4 linked regions of the Caenorhabditis elegans genome follow. The protein of the gene in region 4 interacts with the protein of the main gene of each other region in a pairwise test. Each region holds a gene or a part of one and is shown on either strand. Other genes may lie near its edges.

The links.
Region 1: the proteins of tbx-8 (region 4) and ceh-43 interact in a two-hybrid assay, tested with the Caenorhabditis elegans proteins (one large-scale study listed by BioGRID).
Region 2: the proteins of tbx-8 (region 4) and set-1 interact in a two-hybrid assay, tested with the Caenorhabditis elegans proteins (one large-scale study listed by BioGRID).
Region 3: the proteins of tbx-8 (region 4) and vab-7 interact in a two-hybrid assay, tested with the Caenorhabditis elegans proteins (one large-scale study listed by BioGRID).

The regions. Positions count from the first base shown.
Region 1 is NC_003281.10:4,444,843-4,452,573, forward strand, and holds ceh-43 (Homeobox domain-containing protein), read right to left. Parts: upstream 5,102-7,731; coding exon 4,873-5,101; intron 4,768-4,872; exon of another isoform or gene 4,689-4,767; intron 4,394-4,688; coding exon 4,264-4,393; intron 4,206-4,263; coding exon 4,130-4,205; intron 2,760-4,129; coding exon 2,520-2,759; intron 2,175-2,519; coding exon 2,001-2,174; 3' UTR 1,808-2,000; downstream 1-1,807. UniProt on the Caenorhabditis elegans protein: Probable transcription factor. Binds to the sequence motif 5'-ATAAT-3' in regulatory elements. Required for development of the anterior hypodermis during embryonic morphogenesis for cell adhesion; also affects embryonic and larval viability.
Region 2 is NC_003281.10:6,449,128-6,454,719, forward strand, and holds set-1 (Histone-lysine N-methyltransferase set-1), read right to left. Parts: upstream 3,246-5,592; 5' UTR 3,230-3,245; coding exon 3,066-3,229; intron 2,933-3,065; coding exon 2,694-2,932; intron 2,648-2,693; exon of another isoform or gene 2,640-2,647; coding exon 2,452-2,639; intron 2,441-2,451; exon of another isoform or gene 2,364-2,440; coding exon 2,226-2,363; 3' UTR 1,665-2,225; downstream 1-1,664. Other genes in the region: T26A5.6 (UDENN domain-containing protein), read right to left, coding at 1-26, 83-405, 452-607, 685-922, 970-1,167, 1,502-1,558; jhdm-1 (JmjC domain-containing histone demethylation protein 1), read left to right, coding at 5,356-5,592. UniProt on the Caenorhabditis elegans protein: Histone methyltransferase that specifically monomethylates 'Lys-20' of histone H4 (H4K20me1). H4K20me1 is enriched on hermaphrodite X chromosomes and during mitosis. Involved in dosage compensation by repression of X-linked gene expression in hermaphrodites.
Region 3 is NC_003281.10:10,917,495-10,927,293, reverse strand, and holds vab-7 (Homeobox protein vab-7), read right to left. Parts: upstream 6,951-9,799; 5' UTR 6,909-6,950; coding exon 6,867-6,908; intron 5,708-6,866; coding exon 5,569-5,707; intron 3,578-5,568; coding exon 3,420-3,577; intron 1,849-3,419; coding exon 1,658-1,848; intron 1,496-1,657; coding exon 1,282-1,495; 3' UTR 1,253-1,281; downstream 1-1,252. UniProt on the Caenorhabditis elegans protein: Transcription factor. Involved in motor neuron fate determination and maintenance, acting as a transcriptional repressor to counteract gene activation by transcription factor unc-3 in a subset of motor neurons.
Region 4 is NC_003281.10:10,344,752-10,351,184, reverse strand, and holds tbx-8 (T-box transcription factor tbx-8), read right to left. Parts: upstream 3,611-6,433; 5' UTR 3,602-3,610; coding exon 3,306-3,601; intron 2,924-3,305; coding exon 2,848-2,923; intron 2,793-2,847; coding exon 2,640-2,792; intron 2,007-2,639; coding exon 1,584-2,006; 3' UTR 1,445-1,583; downstream 1-1,444. UniProt on the Caenorhabditis elegans protein: Transcription factor. Involved in the control of early morphogenesis of the intestine, hypodermis and body-wall muscle. Involved in regulating expression of vab-7. Appears to have partially redundant function to tbx-9.

The sequences.
Region 1 (7,731 bases), 5.9 Mb from region 4:
GGTTGAATTTCCTCCCTTTTCCCACCGTAATTCAGGCGCCGTTCCGTCGATTCCGCCATTTCACCGCCGACACACACACGTTGAAATGATGGAAAAACCCCTTTTGATGAGAGGAACGGGCGGTATGTGAAAACAGACTGATGAGTGATTTATTGAGAAAATGTCAATGAAATTTAGTGTTGAAATTTTGGAATTTGTGACAGGCAGGCAGGATCCTGGCGCCTACCTGCCTGCCTGTCGTGTCTTGTCGGCGTTTTTTTTCAACATAAAAGTTAGAGTTTAAAATTTTAAAAATCGCAAAAATTGAAAATTTTTAAGCGTTAAAATTATAACTTTAGTTTAAACAACTTTAGACGAAAAATTCAAATTTTTAACTTTTCAAAAAACATTTTTGTTCGGGAATTTCAAAGTGTTAATTTTTAGAAAATTATTTGGCATAAAAAATTTATAATAAAATTGTTTAAAGAATCATGATTTAAAAAAAGCTAGCATTTGAACAAAAAAAACAATTTCTAAATATTTTTCCCTACAATACATCTACCGTACCACTATCATATCTACAGTAAAATATCAAATCCGCTGCTAACTTTAAGAAAAACTCTTTATATTTGCAAAATAGTATGAAGATTTTAATTTTTTATTCACTAAAAGTACAATTTACAGTAAAAAAGATAGTATATCAATATGATAGGAATCTAATTATAAATAAAAAAGACGGGCACCCGGTTGGCCGTTGGATTAAAATGAAAAGACGAAAAAAACTGGAATCGGTGAAATTGAGTTGAAGACATGAGGAAGGGAAAGAAAGTTTTAAAGAAATGAGGAAAAGCACACAGGTTGAAGGGAGTTTTAAAGAAGATCGGTAGAGATCTGAACAGTTAAAGTAAGTTTTTTTTTCAGAAGTAAGTATTCAGAAAGTAAACTGGCTCTGATCTCAAGGAATCGCGCCAAAAATCTAGTTTTCCGCGATTTCTAGAGATCAAACGGGACCTTCTGAATACATCATTTATTTGATAGAATCATTCAATTCAGCTGGGATTTCATTTTAATTGAATTTAAAATGTTACATTAAATTTAAATTTTTAAAAAATTGAATGAAAATCTCAAACAAATGTCTAAAATGATAATAAAGTCTTCTACACCTGAAAATGAGGGTTTTGGAAGGCATTTGAAAATGTAAAAATGAGCAGACTATCGCCGAATCTTGCAGGGGCACTAATATGGTGTAGCCGATGAGGTCAGATGATGCGGTGATTTATATGTTGGGTTGGTAGAGCTGCAAAATTTTCAGATTATGGAAAAGTTTTACTTTATTATTGTGTGCCTACTTGCCTGCCTACGTGCCTACCGCCTATTTTTTTTACTGCAAGTCGCATTGTAGGTAGAGAAGCAGGCGGCTTTGTATTTTGTAAAAATTAGACAGAGAATTGCAAAGCTCAGAAGAACCAAGTTTTTCTTTACGGTTCTGTTTCAAAATTATCTTCAAGTTAGTTGCAAAATGACTAAATACTGGCTCCACCCAAGAGTGTATTCAGAATTTGTTTCCAATTTTTCTATTTAAAAAAAATTATCGGGGTTTTCCGAGAAAATCAAACAATTAAAAAAACCGTACAGTTTATAAAACCAGGAAACTATTGGATTATAGTAAAGTCAAGAAATTATTTTAAATACGAAATTTGCCAAAAAATTAGGAGACTTTGTCTGGAAACTCAAAAATACAAAAATTTAACTTTTCGTCGATTGATAATTCTTGGCATTCTGCCATTTTTCAAGTAAAAAACTTTAAAAAAGCAAACGTTCAATATCGATTTATATATCAAAAACCATGAGACCATAGAAAAGTTTGGAAAGAAAAAAACACAAATCATCGAGAAAATCAATATTTTCTAGGCTGACAGCTTATTCAAAAGTGAACATATTTTAGCAAGGTACTACAAGAGCCTTGTAAAAAAGAATTTTTTAAATTAACTGACAGTCAAGAAAAAGGAAATATTATATCCTCAGACATACTTGTAAAGAGTATTCTGGTATACTCCATTTGTGTAGTCAATGCTAGGATAAGCGCCTGCCGTATTGTAGAGCGCATTGTTGGGGAAACCCTGTGACGGTGGGAGAATCGTTGAAAAGTCGGATCCGTAGAGGTAAGGAGAAGCATATTGCTCGTTGAGTGTCATCTGAAAAATATTAGGAATTATTATGCTTTGCGAAAGAGCTTGAAAGCAGACGAAGAGTGTCTGCCTGCGTGCCTACGAGGCAGGCGTGGTCGCCTTCTATGCAAACTCGTACCTGTATCTGTTACACGTATGCGTGTGCTTTTGTCAATGCAGTCACGCAGGCACACACGAGTTTTTGTGCCTACGTAAACTGCTTGAAGGCGGTTGCATTTTCGGACAGCAAAACCGTGCTTTATTTTACAGCAAAATTTCGGTGAAGGATTTTTGCAACTCAAAAAAGTTTTCAAAGAATTATTCAAAATATTTCTAGACTTGGTTATCAGATAATCAGCACATTTCACTAACCGGTGGATATTCCTCTTTCATTTCAGTTTTAATTGAACTAGATACAAGTGTTCTTGGCTCACTGCTCTCCTGAATCATAACCGATTCTCCCATCGGTGGACTTTCAGGCTTTGACTCTTCCGTATCATCATCTTCTTCATCTGATGCATGATCCGAACTTCCACCCTTCTGTTTCTTCTGCTTCGAACGCCGATTTTGGAACCAGATTTTCACCTGGAATTCAGTGATCGGTTGTGCTCTCTAAATTTTAAAAGATTTGTTTAAATTTTTAGCGCAATTTTATTGAAAAGCCCCACATCGGGGCCGGTGTGCCAATTGGTTTCCGATCCGTCGATTTTGCAAAAACTGGGCAATGTATACATAGAGAGATAGACCCTGCGTGTCCCTGTATGACATCCGTGAAAAGACGGAAGAGAGGGAAAAAGAAGAGTAATTAGCCATCCGCTAGTATGTGGTTGAATAGAGGCAAAGATTCCTATAGAGGTCACATTCACTCTTTTCATGAACTAACCGGCTGGATGTCTAACCACAAGAATCAAGTGTACTGTAGAATCACCCCAAAATTTTTGAAAGAAACATGAACTGGGTAAACTGGATTCAGAATCTCAAGTTTTGGCAGAATGATTTATGAACATTGCACCACATTTTTCACGCCGGTTTTAGCGATCTAATTTGAAGCGTAAATCATGGTGCATCGAGGTTGTGTTTTCATATTTTTTGCTCGGTTCGGATTTTTTTTCGATCACGCTACTTTTAAATAATTGGTTTAGAAAATCCACACACAATTTTCCGGACACCCAATACCAATGTGTCACACCTGTCAATCAGGCGTCCGCCCCCCGTCCGTTTCCGCTGACTTTAGATAAAATCTTGGCAGGACACATGTTTCTGTTACGGTATGATTGATATACCCGTATCCCACTTCTCAAAATTCGATAAGCATCTAACACCTGAGCGCGTGTATTCTTAAAGCTTCTTCTCCTATTGACGTGGCATAATTATGTGTTAGTTGAGAGCTTTCTCATTTCATATCCCTCGGGATATCAAAAACAATAATTAAAAGGCGATACCAGCATCTATGTCAAAATTGCGACCGCTTTTCCAAACATTCTTCAATTCTCTAAACTCAATAGCGCGTATAAAACTGGAGGAATGCACGACCTTCTCAAGACACAGTTAATGGTACTGTTTTTACGGTGAATCAAATGAAGACACGTGTGTGTCAGAGGAGGAGGGGGACTTGGATCGAGGGATTAGGAAGATTACGACTGGATTATTACATGATGGTGTGCATTTCGTCAAGGTCATTGATATGGCAGTGGGGTAAGCGGAAATTGTTCGAAAATTGACAGCCAATTTGTTAATTTTCAACTAAATTTTAGAATTTTAAATTACGAAACACACTTACCCCGATGCACCATACTTACGCGCCAGTCACAAAAATTTTAAATAAATTTCGCGCAATTTTTGTAGATCAAACCGCAACCGGACCTTTTTAATTCACGTGCAAAGATTTCAATGTTTCTCGAAAATGCGGGCCTAGTACATCATATCTTACGAGCAAGTTGCATTATATACAAAAATCTCCCCAAAATAACAAAAATAGTTACCTGAGTTTGTGATAATCCCAATTCATGTGCCAATGCTGCTCGATCCGGAAGCGCCAGATATTGTGTTTTTTGGAATCTGAAAATGAATTTGAATTAATAAATTTGCAATTTAAATAATTTTGAAAAAAACAAACTTTTTCTGAAGCATTTGCAGTTGTGATGAGTTGTAAATTGTCCGTGGTTTCCTCATTTTCTTTCCTTTCACGTTGTACTTCGCCTCACATCCTTCCACGATTTTTGTAGTTGTGTGCTCGGGAAAAGCTTCTGCAAACTTTTTTTATAATAACCCCTTTTATGTGCTAATTTTGATGCTATCTATTTCGAAACCAAATCAAAAGCAAATCATAGACCTCCATTTCTAATGATCTAGATATTTGGAGTCAAAGTCAGAAACTCTAGAAAAAGTAACACATTGGATACAAGTGCTAATGTTAGATCGCGTTTGACGTCTTTTACTTTTGACGATATTGGTAAACCTAGAACAATGACGTGTTTTCAAGATCTTTAGTTTAGATTTTGAAATTTTTAAATGAAATTTAAATAAAATTAGTTAACAAGCTTCGACCACGGCAGGATTCGAACCTGCAATCTTCTGCTCCGTAGGCAGACGCGTTATCCATTGCGCCACGCGGCCACAGTTTGAAGATGAAAAAAGGTACTTATCAACTCTCCTAGGTGTCAACAGGAGACCAAGTTAAAGCAGTTGGCAATTTCCAAAGCTTTTTCAATTCCGAGTTTCATACCTTCAGGTGAGCTTCCTGGCCCAGGAGGATACATTGCATAGGCACTCGTTTGCTGTGGTGTACCATACATAGAACCACCAGTTGCTCCATTCGTTGATGACGTCGGATAAGCATGGTAGGGGAAATAAGGGGAAACGTTAGATCCAGCTCCGTTGCTTGTGGGTGGAGCTACTCCAGATGTCTGATAATAATCTCCAGCAACATATTCGAATCCTTTTGATGGGTCCATCTGAAAAAGAAAGTAATTAAAAATATACAAAATTAAGAACTGAAGAAATGAGACGTAATCGGAATAAACACTCTGAAAATGGACAAAAAGGTGAAGAAGTAGAATGAATGAAATTGAAAACTTTTAAAATTCTCACACCATTTGAAAGGTTGCAGTTCTCACACTTTGGTTTTTGCAAGTCTTCGAGAACGACGACAAAACTTTTGATTCATGATTATTCGGTTAGTTTAGTTAGTCTCTACTGTTTAAACAGAGGAGCAGTGCCATGACATTCAACATAACATTATCAGTAATGACGTGGCAAACAAATATTTCGTAGTAGCAAGAGCATCAACTTTTCAAAAATAAAAAAAAACGAATGTGAGATGAGAAAAAAGTTTCGACCACGGCAGGATTCGAACCTGCAATCTTCTGCTCCGTAGGCAGACGCGTTATCCATTGCGCCACGCGGCCACATTGTTTCGCGATGGAGAAGCTGGACAGGAAATTCATCAAGTGATAAGTACATGATAACGATAACAACTTTCATCTAGCATGCATTTTAAACAAAAATCAGTTACCATAAACTTTGAAGACTTAGAATTAGCTGAACTGATGCACCGAAGTCATAACCCTATCATTATGATCCCCAAAAACTTCTCACACCCCCACACAAGATCCAACTTCAACAAATTTCGGGTCAATTATCAACGGCAATTTAAAATTTCAGATGGATGGCAGTTGAGAGAGAGAGAGAGAGACAAGACGATTACCTAAAATTTGAGTGAAAGAAGAAGGAAAAGAAGAAAGGTATGAATTAGGATAATAAGGGAGGAGATGGAAGATTCAGAAGATTCAGATGAAGAAGAAGTAGTTGAAGAAGAAGAAGATTATGATGATGGTAGTGGTGGGAGGGAATGGGCACTAGTAGGCACATACACATAGCACAACACACCATCGCAAAAGGGGGAAGAGAGACGATGCGGGATGTGGAGAGGAGACACCTCAAAACTGATGGGCGGTACGTTGGTTGTGGGCGGAGTAGTCGTCTCCTATTGGACACAGTATTCTCTGGGTGGAGCCATTGGGGTCGCTAGGTGACCATCTTATCAGAAGATTTATCTGAAAACTTTTTCACAACTCGATCCCCTACATATCAAATTGTTTAATGATGATTTCAGAGCGGATGGGGAGAGACAAGACAATTATTTTGGAAAAGTGCCGGGGGGAGAGGCTGGCAGTAGAGAAAAATGGTTGAGGTATAATTTAGCCCAATTATCTTTCAGAGTGTGTGTGCCTCAACAGGGGGACCCCGCCCTATATTGTAGCTAATTGCTGGGTGTACGTGGTGTAGAGAGAATGGATAAAGCGAGAGAAATAGTGAATTGTGGCTGTAATTGCGTGTAGCCAAAAGGGCCTCAATCTTCTCGGTCCCCACCACACCGCCGGCCGTCATCATTCCTTCAGTTGGAACTGAGGCGTTCCCGTGCCCATTTTTTCATGATTTTCAGAATTTTTGATTTTGAAGCTTTTTTGGATAGTTTCTATATCTTGGTCCTTTGCATTTGAGCAAGTTGCCCGTGCACACTCCTGGCGAAGATAACATATGACTGCCTTTCCGAGTACCATCTTGGGGAGACATCTTTGTGTCAGCATGGCTTCCAAAATCTAATTCATTCCTGATTCCAGAATTATCCCCTCAAATCCCTTATATGAGCTCTGTAACACTATTGCTCTTCCAAACTGTACATATTTTATCCAGGTGGTAAAGTCTGTTCTTCCAATCCAGTAAGAGTTGTCACCTAATTAAGAATCCCAACTTTTTCGTTCACAGCTTCAGAATCTTTAAGGTTTTGCCGTCGGCACCATCTGCCATGCTCACGCCAACTGTTCTTTTGTATTTCCATTTTAACTATAGTCTAAAATGGACATTGAGCCACCACACAGTTCCAATTTTTCAATTGTCTGATTTTTTTCGTAGGAACGAGCTTTTCGGCTTACTTCTTTCTATCTGTACATCCCGTTTTGCCAGCTGCGTCAACCAATAAGTAACTGATAATTATTGGCACGTCACCTTGTTTTCGAAAGCTTACTCATTAACCGCGCTCGCTTAAATTCTACTAGCATGACTATGAGTTTTTGTAATTTCAGGGAGCTGAAGAGAAACCATATGCATACTATACTGATTCAATCCCCGATATAAAGCTCCGTAAATTGACTGATTAATTGACTGTACCGCACAGTTAGTTCGCGATATGTGAATAATTTCGATGGAGCAAAATGTGATCTATCAATTTACGTTCCCGTAAATTTTTTGCCTTTCTTCGATCCATCCGGTCATCAAACCTCTCGGCCAAGGAGGAGATGCATCGGAATATTGATTGAACCCAGCGGCCAGTAGAAAATAGACCGTGAGGTGCGAATCCGAGCCGAAAGGGGATTTGTTTTGTTCTACGGTATCACTATAGTGAAAGAGTTTTGTATTCTCTTTTGTCGGTATTTCATCTCAAGAGATCAGTGAGCTAGTCTAAAAATATTTGTGAATAATTTTCCAAAAAGTACAATGCTCTGAATCAATATTTTTCTCAGAAAAGCTCTTGTTCAAATGCCGAAAGCAATACCGAAAACATATAATTTTCTTCTCGCGCGCG
Region 2 (5,592 bases), 3.9 Mb from region 4:
TGGACAAGAGAACCGTCGTCTTCGATCTGAAATTACTCAAGTTTAGTTAGAAACCTGAAAATTGTTAATTTAAAATACAAACCTTCACAATAACATCAAATAAATCCTTTTTCATCGCAAATAAGGCATTCGTAGCTCCAAATATACAACTCTGAGTCTTCGGGACTAAATCCATTGATTGAATTGATAGATATGGATCAAATGATGATCCTTGTGTGAATAAGCTTATAGGAAATCCACACGAATCCTTTTCTTTCAATGGATCATCATGTGAAAGCTGAACACCAACCTCCTCTTCTATCACTATTTCTTCGCTTTTTCCTTCAGTTTTTGAATTTACATTTTTGAAATGACAACTCGTATTGACCCCGATTGTTGCGTAGAACAGACCTTCTTCCAAAAGCTCTGAAATTCAAAATTAAACGATTTTAAAATGTCTGTATATTCTTACTTGGAAACATTGAAACAATAGCCAGCATAGTTTCTCCTAATCGTAATCCAGTTGGTGCAATGAATAAAACTTTCCGCTCTAATAGGAATAATTTAAAAAGCAGTAGAGCTCGGTGACGGAATCGTATAAAAAGCTCTTGAATTGATATTTCTGAAACTGATATCGCTAATTAAAATGTGAACATTTGAAACTATTTTCATGTTTTATTTTAGTAAATTGATTCAATAACGTACCATGATGAGCTAGATTTGAAAAGTATTCTCCAGTAAGATTTTCGTCGAATATATCGCAAAGATTCGTATACATTTGAGCAAGAACATCAACTTTCGAAAAATCTTTTTGTTCAAAATATGCCTGAGTTATTACTTCCAATTTTGCTTTTAATGGACCAAAAAGTGGTATTCTTGAAAGAACGCATACAGCTTTTTGAACACTGGTCCTAGTCACATCTTCCGATTTATTTATTAATTCCTGCAAAGTCAAACAGTTTTTATCTGAAGAGTCATATAAAATCTCACTTTTGCATCGATTTGTCTGTAACACGAGATGCCAAATATCGATTTTCCAGGTTCTTCTCTAGATGGAAGCAAAAAGAATATTGTATCTTTTTGACAATTATGTACACCATCCGGCAACGCCAGTGATGGAAGAAGATGCCATTCATCGGGTAATCCCGATTCGCCCGTGCCATCGAGTTTCGGGTGCGAGTATTCTACCTACAAGATTTATTTTATTGATTTTTTACAAATTGAGTTGATGAACTTGAATTTAAATCTTCACTCCATATAATACAAAACTTAATAATTAAATGTATATGAAAAATACTGCAAAAATAGTAAAAAGTACCAAAAACGTTCTGCTTTTTGTGAAATGTTCGATTGACTGTAACATTTATTTCAAATTAACTGCAAAATATACGCGATTTTGTAGTTTATATTGCCATTTTATTACTTTCCTGCACATTTATGACCTTAATCGTTACGTTTTCGAGTTTATTCTTTTATGTATCATATTTTCCTGATTTTTCTGATAGTTTGCCATTTTTGTTACCTCACATCCTCGCTTGTGATGGAAACTAACGACGACCACATTCAGAATTGGATGCATCTTTCTCTGAACTGTAAGCTCTAATGTTTTCCCGAATTTTACCATCTTCAGATAAATTCTTATGGTTGCTATACCGGAAAACGGAATATACTCGTAAAAAAAGATTAATGTAGCAAAATTTATGGATTTTAATTGTTTTCAAAATGAAAAATTGAGATTTGCACGCTGATAATGTTTTCCGATAGGGATGGAAACGATTTTAGCGTTAACCAGTCATTAAAGTAGGTTTCCAACTCGCACCTCATGTACACCACAAAAATGAATAATTCAGGAAAAAATGGGCGATCAACGAGAAATTTACAGAAGAATTAAAGATATTAAAGGCATTTCGTAGTGGAACAAGTGAGGAGATTTTCAGGTTTCAATGAAAGGAAAGAACAAGGGACTTTTCAAAAGTCAACAGGAAAGGTACAGAATTGGATACTCACGAGATCCAGATTATCATAAATGAGCACGTTATTACGGCTCGTTATTGAGATTTGTTTCAGGTTTGATTCGCTGTGAGAATGAGAAAAGGCGGTTGAAAGAGACGAAGTAATGAGAGGATTGGGCACGAGTGCCGTGGAAAATATGAGAAAATGAAGGGAATTACAGTAGTATACTCGTGAAGGTAAATGAACATTTGAAATGGATTGAGCAGATCGAAGAGATGTTGTGGAGCAACATATTATGTGTTCACAAGCCATGGATTCTTGGCAATCGTCTCTGCTGAACGATCTCCATAATCGTAGAGAAGCTCTTCTCCTTGTGCGATTTGACGCCTGGCGACGAGAATCAGGTGATGCGACCCATCGATTTCCACCACCTGGAATGTTTAGTTTTGGAATTGTTATTTACATTTTTTTAATTTATCAAAGACTTTCTTAATAAATTTCAAATTTTGAAATGCTCACTTTCGTTTTGAGATTCGGCCTTAACACGGAATGATTGATGAGTCGTCCTTTCCATGGAGATTCTTTTGTCGCATCGATACACCATTTTTTATTGTTGTGCTCAAAAAAGTACATGTAGGATCCGATTTCCTCATCATTCGAATATTGTTCTTCTATCACTTTTGCTTCCGAGTACTCCATCATAACACCTAGAATACTTTTTAAAAACAATATTACAACAATTATCTGTGTTATCTACATACCTCTGTATTCGACAACAAAGTCTCCTTTTTCAAAGTTAACTTTCGTTCGAATTCCTCGCCCCTTCACAACATCTTTGTACACTTCAAGAAGTCGTTCATTAGTCCCCTTGAGTACGGTATCGCGAAGAGCATGTTTAGCTTCATCGCTAATTTGCTTGCTCGTCTTCCGATTACTTCGCCGCACTTGGAAGAATTCTGTGATTTTATGGTTTGAGACATCTTTCACCGACACTCCTTTTCTGAAAGAAAAACTATTTGGAAATTGAAGTTTTCAGCTTGGACAATTTCTGTGAATATGTTGTGAATTCAATTAGAAATATTGAAGTTTTTAAACGTTCTATTACAATCCCTCTTGTCACTAATCAATCATACCTGCTCCTTGTGTTTTTCGACGGTGTCATTCTTCCTGAAGATGAAGAGTGTGAAGCCAAAGACGATGGATTTTCGGAGTTCTCAATATCACTAGATGGTGACGCTGCTGCGGCACGATCCTTTCGCATTCTACTCGTTGCCAGCTTCTTCGCGGCAACTTTCATCCTTCGAGTGACACCGCTGAAAAAATAATAAATTTTGTAGGGTGAGGAGAATAGTAAAAATAGAGAAATTTATAAAGAAGCAAAAGAGGTGTCATAGAAATAATAGAAATATTCGCCCACAATTTATTTTTTTTGTTTTGAAATGGTTGGGTAAAAATATTATAATGTGTTGTTTCAAAAACCCAGATATTCAATATGATTTCATCGGTCCTGAATACTGTAATTGAAAATGGAAAAGCCATCTTGGATGTACCTGAAAAAGTAGTTGGGAAGAGGGTAACAGAGGAAATTGAAGCGGGCAGAGAGATGCGTAAAGCAGATTGAATGGGTTTTCGGAGGAATATTTTTTTTAGAAAGTGAAGGTTTCTATTGTGAAAAGGGTGGGCTTTCACCGATTCCGTTGAATTTCCAAATATCAAAAGACCGAGTAGAACATCATCATTAAGATATTTATCCACATTTCGTGAATAACCTCATTAGAAATCAAATTCAGTGGTTTTTGACGAGAGCTGAGCACAAAGAACAATGTCGTGCACACGCGACTAAATTCAAATGGTGTGCAGTCATATGGTTTTGGCGGGAAGTGCCGTGGAGCGTTATTGCACTCACGGTAGATGTCGGTGGTTGGTGTAAAAAATGGTGGATTGAAATTATGGAATTGAACTTTAAAATGTATATTTCCGTAATAATAGATACACTTATTGGGCTCGTAAAATTAAACAGAAAAGATACTCAAAGATTAAAATTTAGATAAATTTTGACGCCATGCGCATGACTAATGTTTCTATTTATATTTTAAATATTATACCAACTGGAATTTTAAATTTAGATGTCCTATTGATCTATTAATTTTGACTGAATTGAAAAAAAACAACTATGAGAAACAGAGCAACAAATCGATGGCAACATCGTGCACAAGAGTGTCATCGCATAAAAAATGCAGTTTGTCATTCTTCAATGCGACTACATGAGAGCCCGACGAAGAAGATATGCTGAAAAAAAGAACATCGAATCGGTGTCGAGAATCTGAATGACATAAGAAGATGCAGCCGCTGGTTTATTGATGCTGGCAGCTAATCGATTATGAATGGGTAATTAGAAAACGATCGGTATATTCTATTCCATTCCCTTCCTATTTATGCTGCGGTCGATAAAACGCTAAATCGATAAAAAGTTTAGTCGTTGTAAGATTGAGCAGCAAACAAAGAATGGTGCCGTCCACCCGTTCGTTTTCGACTGTTTTGTCAATTCAGCGGTCTACGTCACAACGCCACATAATTGTAGGCCAGAAAGGATGTCAGGGGAAATCGATACGAATTATCAGGAATAAGGAAGAAATATTGACCTTGAAAACCCAGAATTGTATTTTAATGGAATAAATAGTAAAAAAGAGGAAGAAATAGTGAAATCAGGGAGTGAAAAGAAAGGAGGCTGGTTATACGATCAAACAACAAACAGGAATGCACTATGGGGTGAGGGTGAGGAGAGTCGCAGAGAGAGAAACGGCTTGCGTCGAACACGCCAGTGGTCCAGCTTGCGCCTTTTCCGTTCCTTGCCCATAGTTTCTATTTCGATTTTTGCACGCTTTTTGCTTTAATGTTTTGAATGTGTATTTCTCTCTTATTGCTTTTAAGAAGCATTTAAAAGCAAAAATAATCAAATTTTAACTTTTTTCATCGTAGTGCGGAAAATTATGTTCAAAATTTGTCAATTTATTTAAAGATAATTCCTTACTCGGTCTTATTAACGCTTCAATCAAAACAATTAGAAACAGTTTTCAAAAATAAGATGAAAAAAGTCCAAAAAATTAAATAAATAAGAACCGACAAATCGATCGATTTTTTAAAATCACTGTGTTCCGTTTGAGACCCTTCGAAAATTCCATGTACCTTTAATTCAAGCAGTTCACGAAACTTTTTTTGGGTACTTAATTTACATTTTCTTTTATTAAAAGCCATTAGAATCTCGAAAGTTAATCTAATTAATCGCTTGAAAATGTCCTGAGAAAAACTCCGTTCTCTGCGTTCAAGTCTTTAATTGATTTACCGTAGTTACGCCAACTTTATGACAGTTTTGTATCATAACTAACCATTTTCCTATGATTCTAATAAAATATATTATTTTAGATGCCGCCGAAACGGAAATCAAATGGAAAAACGCCAGCGAACGGTAAAAAGGGCGCAAAGAAGGCTAGGAAAGAGTCAAGTTCAGAGCACGAACATAGTGCTTCAGAAGGTGAAGAAACTACTGGATTCGATAAGTCGTCACTTCAACGATGTGTGAATTTTGATTTCGAAGCTCTGATGAATGATCCGTCTTTCCAACATCCCGAATTTGTACATACAATGGACCCAGAAGCTTTA
Region 3 (9,799 bases), 570 kb from region 4:
AACTAAGTTCATCGAGTTTGTTGTTGAACATGACACTTAGAATATAGGAGCGGGGCTCGCCGGGCTTCGGCTCCTAAATTCTGACCACGTAGTCACCGTTTTTCTCAAGGAGCTGGAAGACATCTTCTCGGGTCAGCAGTCCATGGTAATAGGCTTCTTTTTCGACTGGGGGACTGAAAACATTTAATTGTTAGCCGACATCTTGCGGGACTTCGCTGTTTCGCAACAGCCGACATATTTTGTGTCAAAATAACCAATGAGACGTCGGCTGCTTTGAAGCATTGAGGGCGGGAAACCGGGCATCCGATTTTAAATTCACAGACCGGCGAACCCCGGCTAACTACCTAGCTCATGCCCACCTTCGTGCCTTCCTCAAGCTTACATAAAATTTCACTGCATTTATTTCCTTGTGCCTACCTGGCGCCTGCCAGTTATAGCAGTACTAATTGAAAGGCAGAGCAGCCGACACTTCACAGGATTCCAGCAAAATGTCGGCTGCCACATTTGCCCCTCAAAACTCCCCAACTTACGTAGAATTTGATGACATTTGATGCGATGATGATATTAGTGAGTTCTATTGTTCAGGCAAAAATAGAAAAATTCTAAATGAATTGTTTTCCGATAAAATAGTTTTTTCACAATTTTTCTTGTGGCAAATTTTTTTTTTGTTGTGGCAAATTGATAGGAATCTAACCTCGGAAACGAGAAATAAAATTGTTAATCACGTCATTAAATTTTTATTTTTTGTGAATTGGAATAATTAGAAACTTTCAAGGCGTTTTCTAGGCCACGGAAAAAATCATTTATTCAGTGCAATATGAACAAAAAGATTGGGAAGCAAATAAAACATCTATTCAATAAAATGGAGAAAAAAAAGAATGTAAAAGAACATTTCACCGTCAGTGTGTCAGAGATTGTTTGTAAAATGAGACAAAAAAGCGAAGAAAATACAAATTTTGTGGAAATTTAACAAAAAAAAATTGGCAGATAATAGGCAAAAATTGAGGTTTTTAGGCCACGAAAAGTGTTTTTGGCTATTGAAAAAGCCTAATTTTAGTCAGAGCGATTTCTAGGCCAGCTATGTAATTTTCAGGTCATCTTAGAATTTTCTAGGCCACTTTAGAATCTCCTAGGCCACCGTTGAGTTTTCTTGACCACTTTAGAAATTTCTAGGTCGCTTTAGAATTTCCTAGGCCACCATGAACATTTTTTAGGCCACCTGGCTAATTTTGTCCATTTTTCCCCTTTTTTTGCCGATTTTTTTTTCCAAAAAATAGTGAATTAATCTGTAGAATAAGGCGAGGGAGAACTTGAGGAAGGGCTATTTGAAAAATTTACAGGTTTTGATTCATCATCATCACTTGAGGTATTCTTCGATTTTGAGGAATCGTCTGAATGTGGAGAAGATGGAGATTTTGTTGAATTTTGTGATAAAAATGATGGAAAACCTAATGGTGGAAGGAATGGAAGAGATCCAGCTGCTGATGGAGATGTGCTGAAAAATATTTGGAAAAATTTGAAAAAAAAACCTTAAATAATTTATTTAGCTAAAATTTTTTCACAATTTTATTTTGGTTTTTACGAAAAAAAAAGTTCCGATTCCAAACATTTCCAAAAATTGTGAAGAAACTTCAATATTGCCAATCTTCCAACTCACCTTGATCCATTATTCCCATAAGCTCCATTTCCGGGACCCGTGGCTCCGAATTGTGAGGCGGCAGCTGTTTTCATCCACATTTCATATGCAAATGGGTTTAACATGTAGGCAGCCATTTGTGGAGGAAAGGGCCACGCGAGACCACCGACTCGTTGCCGTTTATCTTTCATTCGACGATTTTGGAACCATACCTGCAAGAAATATTTCAGAAAATTCGACTAAAATCGAGAGTCACTTGCGAGTAATGGCCACTTGGCCACTTTCCACAAGTTTATTTGAAGTAGGGCAAATGAGAGTTTTCTAGGCCATCAGTAAGTTTACTAGGCTACCTAAAAATTTTTTGGAAAGTTCACAAAAATTCAAAATTTTGAGTCATGTCGGAAATGCATCGAGAAAAATTCCTGGGTTATGTCAAAGGTTCCTCGACCACCGTTTAATTTTCTAGTTCATAAATTATAGTTCCTAGGCCACCAGAAAATTTCCTAGGCCATCTGAACAATTTCTAAGACATCTGGAGATTTTCTGAGTTTTTAAAGTTTCCTGGATAATCTTAGGAAGTTTTAGATTATTTTGAAAAACGCTAGGTCATCTCAGAAAATTCTAGGCCAACAATTTTATTTCTAGGACACTGGAAAAAACTAGGCCATGTAATTTTCTAGGATTTCCTTTCATCTCTTCCCCCGCCCAGAATAAGCCTAACCCTAAGCCTAATAACCCTAAATAGCGTCAGTGGGGGAGCGTTAGCTCCAAGTCTAAGACTAAGGCTGAGCCTAAGCCTAAGCCTTAGACTAAGACTAAGCCTAAGCCTTAGCCTAAGCCTAAGCCTAAGTCTAAACCTAAGCCTAAGCCTAAGCCCAAGCCTAAGCCGAAGCCTAACTCATAAATTTCTAACCCTTCTCCTTCTATACTAATTCCCCCGAAAATCATATTGTAACTAGTTGAAGAGGCTACGAAGTTCTAAAAGTATGCCAGTGGGAATAAAAGGCGCGATACTCCGAAATCACTCATAGGCCCTCCGTTTTCTCCTGTCCTCTCAGCTTTTTCATTTTTCAAGGGAGATTGATATGCAGAAGAAGCAGCGGGTCCCGCGTGTATGTCATGGGAAATGATTTGGATTTGACGATGACGGCGGCAGGGGGACGGGGGTACGGTAGCCTATTATGATGCGGAAATCTGCTTCTAACTTTGTCAGTTTTGTAGCTATAAAAATGTTTTTAACTGATAAAATGTAGAAAATTGAATTTTGAATAATTTGGTAGTTGATAATTTTTTGATAGCTATGATATTTTCAGAGATACGAACGTCCAAAATGTGTTCAAACATGTGAGTGGCCTAGAATTCTCAATTGTGCTCTAGAAAGCTTAACGTAGTCTTAGAATTTTAATAGTGGCCTAGAATCCTTACTGATGACCTAGAAAACTTAGTTCTAGTTTTAAAGCTTCAGCCGTGGCCTAGAATCTTCAGTGGTAGCCTAGAATTCTCAATAGTTGTCTAGAATCCTTAGCGATGGCTTTTTGATGATCTAGAAATTTTAAAATTGGCCTACAATCAACTCTGATTACAAAGAATCCTCAGTGATGGCCTAAAGAGATCGTGGTAGCCTGGAATTCTTAGTGGTGGCCTAGACTTGTCAGTAATAGCTAAAACCGTCTGTAGTGACTTGGTCTGAAATATTATAGGTCGCCCAAAGAGCTATGATGTAGCCTAGAGCCATTTAATACTCTAGGAATTTTCATCCAATTTTTCTCTATTTTCAACTTACCTTAATTGTACCTTCTGGAAGATTCAACTCTGCCGCCAACTCGCCACGTGTCTTCCTGCTAACATAGTTTTCCTTTGCGAATTCCCTCTCAAGCCTCCCAATCTGTTCTCGTGAAAAAGCCGTTCGATACCTCCGCATTTGACCGTCGTCTCGGTTATCTGAAATTATTATAAATCAGCATTTCATCAACAGCTTCCCGACGACAAAAACACGGAGCAAATTATGTTTTTCGTCATACAGAATTAAATAATTAAAAGTGCTTTAAAATTCATCAATAAACGGCACAAATTGACTCTTCTTGTTTTTCATTATTAGCATCCCGGCGATGCGGAATTAATACATGCATTTCTTGATGAAAAACATAATTTCCACCCATTATCCTAGTGAGAGGGATTATGAGAGGAGATGGATGGCCGAGTTTTGGAATTCTAGGCCATGAGAAGGTGAAGGAGTATACTTTTGTGGATCGCTCATATGACTGGAGTATCCAGGTGATTCTAGGTTATGGATAGGGTGTTGTGGATCCCTCGAAGGAATATGGCCCATTCAAAAGGTTCTAGACCGTTAGGGAAGACTGTTGTTAACCCTTCAGATTTTGAGGGGAAGGAGGGGTTTGTGAATTCTAGGCCATGTGTAAGGAAGGGTGATCTGGACAGTTCTAAAAAGTGGTGGCAGAATTAGAAGTTTCTAGGTGACCAGGTCAAGCTTACAATATGCCGATCTAAAGGAAAATGGCTCAGATTGAGCTTTCTTGGTCATGTGGAACTAAGAGTGTTGTGGACACCATAACGGAACTTGGCCGGGTTTGAGAATTCTATGCTATTAGTATATGATGGTGCTTTGGGCCCTATAGATGTAGTTAGATTAGGTTGATTAGGCAAAGCAGAAACTCCCGGCTTCCTATACTTATCAGCGGTATAGTTGTCTCCTGACCAAAAGACTAGCTAGTCTAAAAGCCCACATGACATAAGCCTGGCCGAGCTTGCAATCCCTAGGCCAGATGTACCCTTCCCACTTTCACCCGTGTACCTGCCCGGCCGGAACATTGTGTCCTAATTAAATAATTGGTTCACTCCCCTTTTTACGACTAAGGGTGTCTATGAACTGATTCGACACGCAACACCAATTACATGACACATGGCAACATTAGGGCGATTGACTTCGGGGGAGAGGGGGAAGAGGTTAAGCACATCAGAGCATGTTTCCCAGTGTGTCTATCAGTGATCATATAACCCATTCGCAACACTAACATAGATAATTGACCACTAAACGACGCGTCTACAGTACCCCGAGAGGGGGGGGGGGGCAGGTGTAAAACAAAAAGAGAGAACATTTACGATATAATAGCCGACACCAAACAATCCTCATTCACACTCAGTGATTGTGTCGAAACCGCAACATTTACACATCGTTTATGATGACAGGGAGCTGCGTGGCCTAGGAAAAAGTCTGGCCTGGAAAGCAAAAATTCGGCCACGCCATGTTCTAGGAGATATGAAGCCTATTGAAATTGTATTTTCTAGGCCACAAAGAGAACTTTCAGGGAGGAGCACATGGAACTATATTAGCCCTTTGAAAGTTCATGGCCGTGGTTGAGTTTTCTAGGCCATCAAGAAAAGGGAAGCTAGTACAGCTTTGTTGAAAAAGCATTGGCGGGGATTTCAAAAGATCTCACTCAGTAAAAGTTGTGACGGGAAAATTCAAATTTTCAGAGTAGAAACTTTGGCGGAGAAATTTTTGGCGGGGAATTTGAATTTAAAAAAAACCAAACTGTAAAAACTATCAAAGTTAGAATGTGGAAATTTGTTTATACTTTTGGCCTAAAAAAGGCAACCTCAGTCACTTCTCGGAGGTAACTGTAATCTTTCACGCGTTGGTTCTAGCCCGTGGCCTAGAAAAAACTCGGCCACTGCCTACCCGCTCCACTACTCCCACGTGTCATAATAGGTGCTCATTGTCCATTTGCTCGTGTCAACCTCATCCATCCGCTCACCCCCCTCCACCTCAATCAATCTCCCTCAATTTGTCACCCCCACCCAAATACGGGACTAAATTAGTGTTCAGCGAGGAGATGAAGCTAGGGGAAGAAGTATTCTTGAATAATTATGTCCCTTCTCATCTCGGGCACACACACACCCATTTTTCTTACCATACGGATGATGACGTCCGGCGGCTGCTGCTGCTGCCGCTGCGGCCACCACACCCATCGGGTCATGATGCTGCTGCTCAAATGGAGGGGAAAATGAGGAAGCTCGAGATGCGGCGACCATCTCCACAAGTGATGGGACCTGGAAATGAGAATTCGAATTACGAGATGTTTTATGTGTTCGGATGGGGGGGGGGGGTGTGTCCTAGGTGATGGGGCTAAAGTAGATTTTATGCTCAACGTGGCCTAGGGACCCAAAACTAGGCCATAACAGTTTTGGGGTGTCAGGGAGGCTTTACTTAGAAACTAAGAGTTGCATCATCCTGGAGCTGTCCGGGGGTCTTCAGAGTTCGGCTAAAAGACTTTAGGGTGTCGAAAAAGTTTCAATGATATATTTTTTCAAATTTTTCTAGATTAAAAGAGGTAAAAACAACTTTTTTTATGTAAACAGTTTTTGATCTGAAAATAAAATCGACATTGTTTTACTAGACATAATTATTTTTCAACTACAATTGGAATTAATTTGAATACTAGAAATAACTGAAGTTTGGCTGTCAAAATAGATAATTTTCGGTAATTTCAACTTTTCAAAAAACGATTTTAATTTTTTTTTCTGTATTTCTTAAATCAAAATTTCAAAGTATTAATAAAAAAGAAAATAGTTTAAAGAATAATTTAAAAACTTCTAGCAAAACAGATTTTAAAAAATTAGAATTTAAATGTTTCAATAATTCAAATAACTATGCAACTATGCATTATAGCTGAGATTATGCAATATGACACTTTTTGATTATGCAACCTAATTAAATTGTCCATAACTCTGCAACTAATGCAGTTATCAAAAAGTTGACAACTAACAAATTATAGCTTAAAACATAATGAACAAATTGTTTGTTGAAAATTTTTTGCTTGCATTATTACAAACCAAGTTATAACCACTTTTAAACACTTTAAAAAAATTATCTTTTAAGCTTCAAACGCCCGATAATCTTGAAAATTGTGAAACTGAATGAAACTTTTACAGTTATCAAATAAAATTTTAGCAACATAAATCTTCTAAACTTTTATGATTAGATTAATAATTTTTCATTAAATTTTATTGCATGAAATTATATAATTTTTTATTTCTACCTATTACAGTTATCAAAAAAGTTGAAAAAATCCCTAAAAAACTACAAAAATTTAGAAACTTTAATTTTAATGGATCTTTGACAACAAGAAGTTTACAGACATTAAATAACAGTTCTACAAAAGTAAAAAACATGGTTCTCAAAACAAAATACAAAACAAAAAAATCTCACCTTATTAACCCCAATAAGGGACTCAATATCAAATGATTGCATGCTAATTTTTAAAATTTTTGATAGTTTTTTTTTCAAATAAAAGAACTTGAGTACTAAAACTCAAAGATAAAGGAAACAATAGAATAAGGCGCTGGGCGGGGCTCAACCTCTCGGTGACTACGGTGGATTTGGCCACGCCCCACGCTCAGATGAGAAGGGCGGCCAATAGAAGAGGGGAAGGAGTGCTGGAATAGAAAGAGACTTTAGATAATAATCTTTTTCCATGACGTTTGAAATTTAAAATACGGCAGATTTGGCATTTTTTTGGAAATTTAATATTAAGAGAAAATGTATTGCTTTTCAAAAACATCAGGTCATTTTTTTTTTCAAGTAAAACTTCAAAAAACCAATTAGTGGCCGAATTTTTGAGTTTTCCAGGCCACGTAACCAAGTAAAGGTTCTAGGGCCCTTACAATGAAGAATATTACACAATGATTAAAATTATTTTGCAGACAGTCTAATTTTTTTTCTAGACCATGTTTCCTAATACCCACGAGGTACCTGCGTGAAAGTTCCCCAATAACGGTTCTCAAAAAACTTCAGTATTCTAGGCCACGTGATCAAGCTAAAGTTCCCGGCCGTTACGATGAAATTCAAAATGAAAATTTTCGAAAATTTCACGGAGGTGGCCGAGGGTTCAAATTTTTTAGGCCACAAAGCAACTGGAGCCCCTTAGCTCATTCAATGTTTCATATTAATATACAAATTATTTTCTCTTTTACGGTGGCCTAATTTTGATTTTTCTAGGCCATGTGCTTAGCTAGGTGAAACGGATGAAAAAACTTATGTAAGTATTTTCAACATAAAAATTCAACATTCAAATTGACAGGTGGCCTAACTTGAATTTTCTAGGCCACTTTTGCCGAGCTCGGCAAATTCGGCAAATCTCTTTTTTCAATATTTGCCGAGCACGGCAAATTCGGCAAATTCGGCAAATTCGCCGTGCTTAACAAACTCGGAAAAATTTGATATTTTTTTATATTTTTTGGAGCACCAAAACTACTGAATTCTTAACACACATCTGGTTTCTGAATAAGTTCCGCGTAGAATGTCTGTTTAAGCATCAAAATAGCTCAATTTTGTATCATTTTACTAAATTTTTGGCTAAAAAATCAATAGTTTTAGTCAAAATTGTACTGTCAAATTTTTGACGTGTGCGGCAAATTTCGAAATTTGCCGAGCTTGGCAAATTCGGCAAATCTACTTTTTTGAAATTTGCCGAGCTCGGCAAACGGCAAATTCGGCAAATTTGCCGCACACCCCTGGTATGTATGATCTCACCGTTCTAATAGAAATTCAATTTTGCGAAATCAGAGTTTTGAAGTTTCTTGGGATTCCCATAACCTTTTTTTCAAAACTTTAAAAGCCATCTACACAATGGCCTAGTTTTTCTTAATTAGGCCACAAAGTCAGATGGAAACAAAAAAGTGTTCCTCCCCATCAAAAAGTGATGAAAGCCTCATCAAAAGTCATTAAGTGACATGACTAAGCAGCTCTTTTATTGTCATTGCATGTATCTCCCCTAAATGTTGCATCGGGAGAGAGAGAATGAATCATTCATCAGGCATTCCGCTCCCCCTTCTCTCTATTTCATTACTTTTTGGTATTGATACACTTGAATACATGTGGAAGACAATACAAAATGGTTTAATGTTTACTCTATTTGTAGGGCATGTCCCTTCAAAAGTTGAGTATAGGCAGTGTGCCTGAGAACACTGGAACTTCCGAACCAGGGGTGGGCCGCGGTTGCCGAAAATTTTAAAATTCGGCAATTTTGAAATTCCGACATTTTTTGTCCGATGGAGCGCGCTTTCATTGTTTTTTTTTCACTTTATCTCTTCATCAAGTTTTCCATCGCGCTCCATCTACTCAGAAAAGAGAAAAGACTTTAAAATCTAAAAACGTTCACTATTCTCAGTACTCACAATTGCAGTTTAGTATGGTCTAGAAATTTCAGTAAACTTTTTGGAAAAATGTTGCGTAGGTGGTTTCAGCTACCTAGCTGCATGGCCTAGAAATCAGAAAAGCTCGGCCATTACTTAACACAAATTTTTGAGTACTCTACAACAATCAGATCAGGTTTAGTTTGTGGACTAGAAATAAATCTCAAACCTCAGAAAACTCGGCCAAGTTTTAAAATTGTTTTCTACAAGCATGTGGCCGAGTTTTTCCGATTTTCTACGCTATTCGTTATTTTAAGAAGAATTGGAGATTTTTCCTACCTGCAAAAGTACCTAAGATGTCGGAATATTCTAAAAATCAGTTTTCATACCACATCTCTTTCACATCACACCAATGAGGCGTACGAGTAGGCGGTAGGCCAAAGCACGTGCCTACCTACGAACTATGTAAAGATCACTCGTAATAGATATGCATAAAATGTAAGTAATCGCACCTGTGTTAATTTCCTAATTAGTACCATAACCGGAAAAGGTGATAAAATCTTATTTTCAACCCCTCGGAAGGTTCAAACACACCTTTTCCGCTCGTAAAATACACCCCTTGGGATATAATGACACAAAGAGTGATACAATATGGTTTTAGAAAGAGGGGGGTGTCTCTTTCATTAGTCCCAAGAGGGAAACTATGAATATGGGGGCAGCGCGGTTTGTGTGACATGATATAGTATGTTGAACAAATTCATTTACGAGATGAAGCTTATGTTTTGGTTTTGAGACAAACGGGGAAAGAGATTTTGGGGTACGGTAGTCTCGGTGAACATTTTTAAAAGAGCGCTACGAGAAAAAAGAAGTGCAAAAAAATCCAATTTTATGGGCATATACAGTAAATTGTAAGCATTTGAAAATGTACATATTTCTCAAATATTCAAAAATTTGGCTAAAAATTTCAAGAAGAAATTTCAGAATTTAAGGATACACTTTGAAATTGCC
Region 4 (6,433 bases):
GCCTTTAAAGAGTACTGTAATTTCGAACTTTCGTTGCTGCGGAATTTTCATCGATTTTTCATAATTTTTCGTTGAAAATCTTTATTTATTTAAAACTAGAATTTTAAAAAAATTAAAAATCAATAAATTGTAATAACTTGTAATAAAAACTATGAAAAATCGGCGAAAATATAAAAGCAACAAAAGTGTAAAAGTACAGTACACTTTAAAGGTGCACACCCGTTTTTATTTAACAAAAAATTGTCGTGTCGAGATCGGATACCGTATTTTTCACAAAATTTCATGCCTGGGCAATTTTTTTAAAGGGAGTTACGGTAATAAAATAAAACTTGAGTGTTTAAAAAAGCAGAAAGCTGAGGAATTACAGAAAAAAACCAAAAAATTATTATAGCAACTAATTGGACTGAAAAACAATTTTCGAAATTTTCGCGGCGAGACCCAACTTTTTCAAATAACTTTTAAAAATATACAAATTAATTACCAATGCACAAAACACAAAAAAAATTAAAAAGTGTCAAACGTGGCGACGAACTTGTAAAAGAGTGACACATCTCGAAATAACTCGGGCTCCTAGCGCCGTTTGTTCACCCTCTGTGGGGCAAACGTAGACTCAAGTGGTGGTGGTAGAGAAGAAGCTGCTCTTTTAAAACAAATCTCATATATACATGTACTGTTAACCACTGATCGAACATGACCGACACAGTACTTTGTCTCTCTGTGGGGTTATGCAAATTCGCCGCCCGGGCGTACTTCAAACTCGGCTTTGACCATATAAACATAATGATAATCAAGCCGCGCGAGGAGCAAAACTGTAGTGAAATTGTGTGTATGGGAGGCTGTGATGGGAGAGAACAAAAGTGTAAGAGGGGTGATGACACACTGTGTAATTCTCATGCAGAATCTTCCACGTCATCATATTGAGCAGGTCGACTTTGCCGATTTTTCGCAATTTCAAAATTGAAAGAACTATAGTTTTTCACAAGAAAGTCTAGGCCATAACGGAGAAAATTGAAGGAACGGAAAGAAGAAAAACAGTTCAAAAAAGAAATTGCGTGGCCTAGAACGTGTGAAACCTCGGCCCCGCATTTAGTCTTGGTGGCAGAAAGAACCAATTGAAGAAACTCCGCCACCGTTTTTTTTCGGCCACGTGGCAAGTTATGCTCTATGGTGGAAAAAATTTAAACTGTAAAAACCATAAAAGTTTCTTAAAACATTGCCATGAAAAATTGAAGTCTCGTGGCCGCGAAAAATACAAATTCGGCCATGGTGTTTTTTGGAAATTTTTTAAAGGAAAAATTGCTCAATTTTAAAGGCCGCAAAAAAACTGGTTTTTAAAGTTAAAGTTATTTTTTCAAAAAATTGGCATGGGCAATAGAAGACCTATTTTTTGTGAATGCCCGCAGAAGAGCATTTTTGCCTGCCTGCCTACTTGTCTGGAAGATAATTACACCGTATAAAATTTATTTGATTATGTCCAAATTCAGAAACAAAAAATCTTCTATGCAGAAAAAATTAACAGAAAAAGTGATCATGTGACCCGAACTAAAGTATAACAATTTAAAATTAATAATTAAATTTTGCAATTAAACTACATTGATTTCCTGCTCAATATCCTCTTGCTCTTCTTTCTTGACATTTTTCAAAGATGGCGGAGGTGTTGGAAATGACATTGGGGAGAAGCATGGAAGTCCAAATGGGAATTGGAATGGTACAGGCGGGAAGTTCCCGGTGGCTGCCAAATGGGAAAAGTAGGGGAGACTGTAGAAAAGGGGATTGATGGCTGGTGGTGGTGGAATCATTGTTGGAAGGATCCGTGGCATCAATGGAGGTGATACTGACACGGTTCGTGACTTTTTTGGCTGAGGAGAAGAGACTTGAGATGAGCTTTCATCTGTTGTAGAGTCGTCGGCGGATGGAGAATTTCGTTTTCTGTCTGATTGGCTTCCCTCTCGGAATCCTTTGGCAAATGGGTTGAACTTGATTTTCAGCTTGATTACTGCGTCGTTCTGGAAGTTTTTGAATTTAAGAGTTACATTTTGATTGAGCCATGGAAAAAAGACAACTTTCTGAGATGCCTCGCTGTTTTCAAGAAAATAAAAAATTGTAGATTAAATAATGCAGTTAATTATTTGCTGTTGGTCTTTAAAACCGCCTGAGACAGTTGCAACAATCGGAAAAACGGTAAAAAACTGCCGGCAAACTATCAAAACTTTTTTCAAGCTATTTTCAGCTTTCAGACAATTTTTGAGTGTTTTTTCAATATTTTCAATTAAGAGAAAAGTTATTTCAGATTTGAAAAGTATACATCATTTTATAGGTCAAAAATTTCATGATAGCTCTCTTACGGTTTTTGAGGAAATCTTAATAAATCAAGAATGAGACTAAAAATTTATATTAATATATTTACCCATTTTACTTTAATTTCTAATAAAAAATTGCAACAATTATTTAAATATCCTTTTCTTCTATTTGTTTTGTGTCAAACCCTTTCACTTCACAGAAAACCCAAAACAATACCCCTCAAACAATTAGTGTTCGCACCCTTCAGAAGATGTGGCTCATAGAGAGCCACACGTGTTAATGCAAGTGTTAATGCGGGCTCAATAGGCAAAGTTATCTAGATCCCAAACAAGTGTTACCTGGTACGCTGTAACTGCAATAAATTCGGTATAAGTGAGTCGAACAGAAGTGACAAGACGGGTCGATGGTTGTGGGACGCTGAATGGGCTCTCCGATGGGGACTCGTAGATTGACATTACTGGTGTGTATTTGTGCATGCTGTGAAGGAAAATCTGGAAGAAATTGGGAAATGCTGAGGTTGAAGGAGAAAAGAATTATGGCTGTTACCATTGATGCATTTGTAGATTCAGCGCAATTTGTGATTTTTACACGATCGAAGCAAACTGGGTTGGTCATCCATTCTCTGGAAAAAAGTTACTATAGGGAGATATACAGAAAATCAGATAATTTATTTGAAAAGGATTTGATATTTGATATTTAAACCGCCCGTAGTTTTATAACAGTTTGAAGTTAACATGCTCAAGTTGGCGATGTGTTACATTTTTAAGTAGTTATAACTTGCTTGAAACAGTCATTACAAAAAAGTTGTCAATTGGAAAACTGTAGAAAATTTTATAATAAACATTTCATCAGTAAGCAACTATTGTATTTTTATTTTCCTTTGAGATATTACAGTTCTAAATTGAAATTATTTTCTGATTCCCTGCTGAAAAATAGGTACTCCAACCCTGACTGCGCTATCTAATAAAAGATCAACTAACAAAGCATTCCAAAAAAAAACTCACTTTCCACTTCTAACTCCATCCGCATGCCACAACTTCTTTGGCTCCCTGTGCTTTTCGGCTTTTCCCGACTTGACCCATTCTCCACTGCTGAACTTGTACCGATGATCGTCGGATGGCTCAATATGAAGCATCATAGCGTAGAGCTTGTTCGGCGTGAGACCTCTGACCACATACTCAAGCTTCGGGAACATTTTCCTGCCGGATTTTGTGACAATCATCTCGTTTTTATGATAATGGAAGAGGTTCCACAGCTTATCCTGATCTTCTCGAAGTGTCACATACACTTGATCTGTCATGGTTTTTCTCTGGAATTTCATATTATAATAAGGATTCAATCAAAACGGGCAAAAACTGAAATATTGGTAAATTGGAAAATTCGCGTAAAAGTGAATACTAAACAGATTGGTGGCTGAGAGTGAGCCTGGGGTCTCACCTGGATGCCACGGCCCCACTCCTGCCTTCCCGAAGGCGGACCGCGGGGTACGGTAGCGATAACACTGGTAGGCGTGGTTTTTCGATGTTTGGCGGGATGCTAAAAAGGGGAATTGTGTGAAGGAATAAGTTTCAAAGGTGAAAATAGACAAAATTAAAAGTTTGAACAGCTGTAACTTCCCAAAAATCAATAATACGAGGGAATTTTCAATTGACATTTTGCTCGACTATTTGTCAGTTGACAACTTTTTGATAAACCAAATATTTTTTGAGATATGTGGGATACTTCTCAACCTACTTTATCCCAACTTTCTCTCTACATACTTTCATTTCTGTTAGAAACACTTTTTGACAAATTTTTTGGTTGAAACTTCTTTGTCGTTTGAAGAATTATTATTAAGGAGTTCTAAAAAATGTTCATGATACTCCAATCAAAAATGTAATCCAAAAACCTCATAACTTCCCCAGTTTCTAGAAAATCGTCATCGAATGCTCCAAATGCTCCAAGTTTGTGATTATTATTTTATTGGTTCAACGATTTAAATATTGTGCAGTCCCTCTTCATCTTTCTCCAAATACTTGCTAGAAATGAATCTCCGGGGGGATATTTTAGGAAACCTGTTCACCTCTCTTTATCGTTTTCCAATCTTTCTACCAAACAATAATAACACGCTTGATTTGTATATAGAGTTCATAAAATTTGTTTAACGACGATTTTACGACGATATTCGATGCCCCCACCACCATCACCACTACGGTAATATTGATAAACGGGAAGAAGGACACGGGCAGGATGATAAATCATTGAGGTTAATTCTCACTTTTACTACGGATATACTGGACGTGACAAATTTTGATTAATCTTGTTAGTGTTCGATGCACCATGTGCAACTGATATCTCGGTTCTTGACTGAAAAAAACATTTGTAGATTGATTTTCTGTAGTTTGTAGTTTGTAGCTCGGTTGCCAGATTTCCCGAAAGTTCCAGGTTCATCTAAAGTGGTTTTACAATTTGCCATTGTTTACAACTATCTCTAAAAACAAGATATCTAATCTCCAGATAATTATTGATTTTCCCTTCAAAAACAAATTATCTGTTAATGCATGCACCATGTTCTCAATCAGGATCATTTTCCTGAATTTTGTGCTCCGACAGTATTGCGGTGAGCCGGCGGCTCCAAATTACATCATCACCAACCAGAGAGTTGTAAAGGGATCCGTCTGGCGCACTGTTGGGTGGAGGAGAAAGAGCGGTACGCGTTTTATGTTGTTAGGTAACTAGAATTGACAGGTGATCATTAGGTTATGGATAGGGAAGGACATTTTATGTACTTGACATGTTATAGTTTTTGGGAACTTTGGAGGGAGTTTTGGGTCAACATTTTAATAGCTTAAATTGCAAAAATTTAATAGCTTCAGAGATGTTTTACAGGATTTCAAATATGACAGATCATTTGTAAGAATTTTCAGTTTATTAAATGTTAAGTATTGACTTCAGGTAACCTTCTTATAGTCTACTTTCTGCATTTTGGAGCAAACTCCTCAGTTTGCCTACATACCTGCCTATCGCCTATAAGGGCAGGCAGGTTTTTAATCGCCCACCTGATATCCTTGGCTTTTTCAGAAATTTTATTCCACGAGCACCTCTGCTTAGGCTGCGACTCGGCAGCCTTGTCCGGATCGCCGATGTCGCGATGCAACCCGATTAGAAGAGGCATCCCGCTGTTGCGTTGATTGACTTCTCTCTTTATTTCTTCCGTTTGACGTGATCTTTTTAATACCACCGACATGGTTATCTCTAATAAATCTTGTAAGGCATGTTTTGATGTTCTTAGGCATGCTTAAGGGGGTTTGAAGGCAGTAGTCACGCGTGTAGGCACGAGGCAGGAGTAAGTCGGCTTGTAGGTGGCTGATAATTTTGAAATTGTTGCATGTCCTGCACAATAATGGCCTACGTTTTTCTGGTCTCTCTGAATATCCCACGCAACAATATACAGGCAACAATCAGACAAAAACCTTGATATTCAGAGTCATACGTATTTATATTATCTGGCGATTCTAGCAACTTTAAAAACCTGGGGTGTCGTTTCATGGCCGTAAAGTTATGTTTCTACACACAAAAATTGAAAAAAAAAGCATCTGGAAAATTATGATTTTAGTAAGTTTTTAAAACTGTAGAAGGTAGGTGGCTGGAATTTAAGAGTCTTGTAATTTCAAAGCCACCGAGAGAACTTTAACGGCCGCGGGGAAGGTGTGACACTCGTTTGGGGCAACTCCATGAAAAGGCGTTACGTGGACATAAAAGTGAAAAATTTTCCACTGCAAATCCGAGCTGAAGAGCTGTGTAATTTTTAGGCCACCTCGACGAAGAAGGTCTTCTTAACAACAAGAAAGGTACCTTATCCCAACATTCACCCCTTTGATAAAATCTCCGATGAGACAAGTCAATCAATCTGGGCACGGCTCTCGTGCAATGCCCAGTGATGCAATTCCCGACCGGACATATAAGAAGGAAAGGCCTATTTGTTGGTTTGGTGATTAAGATCTGCACAAGTGTTGAAGATGATGTGGTACTGTAGAGGAAGTGGTGATAAGTCTAACTGACATCGGGCCTCCTTTGATTTATTAGGGTCCCGTGGAGATTGGGCGAAAATCTGTCATATACGGCCGTGAAACTTGGCACCAGTTCAGAAAAA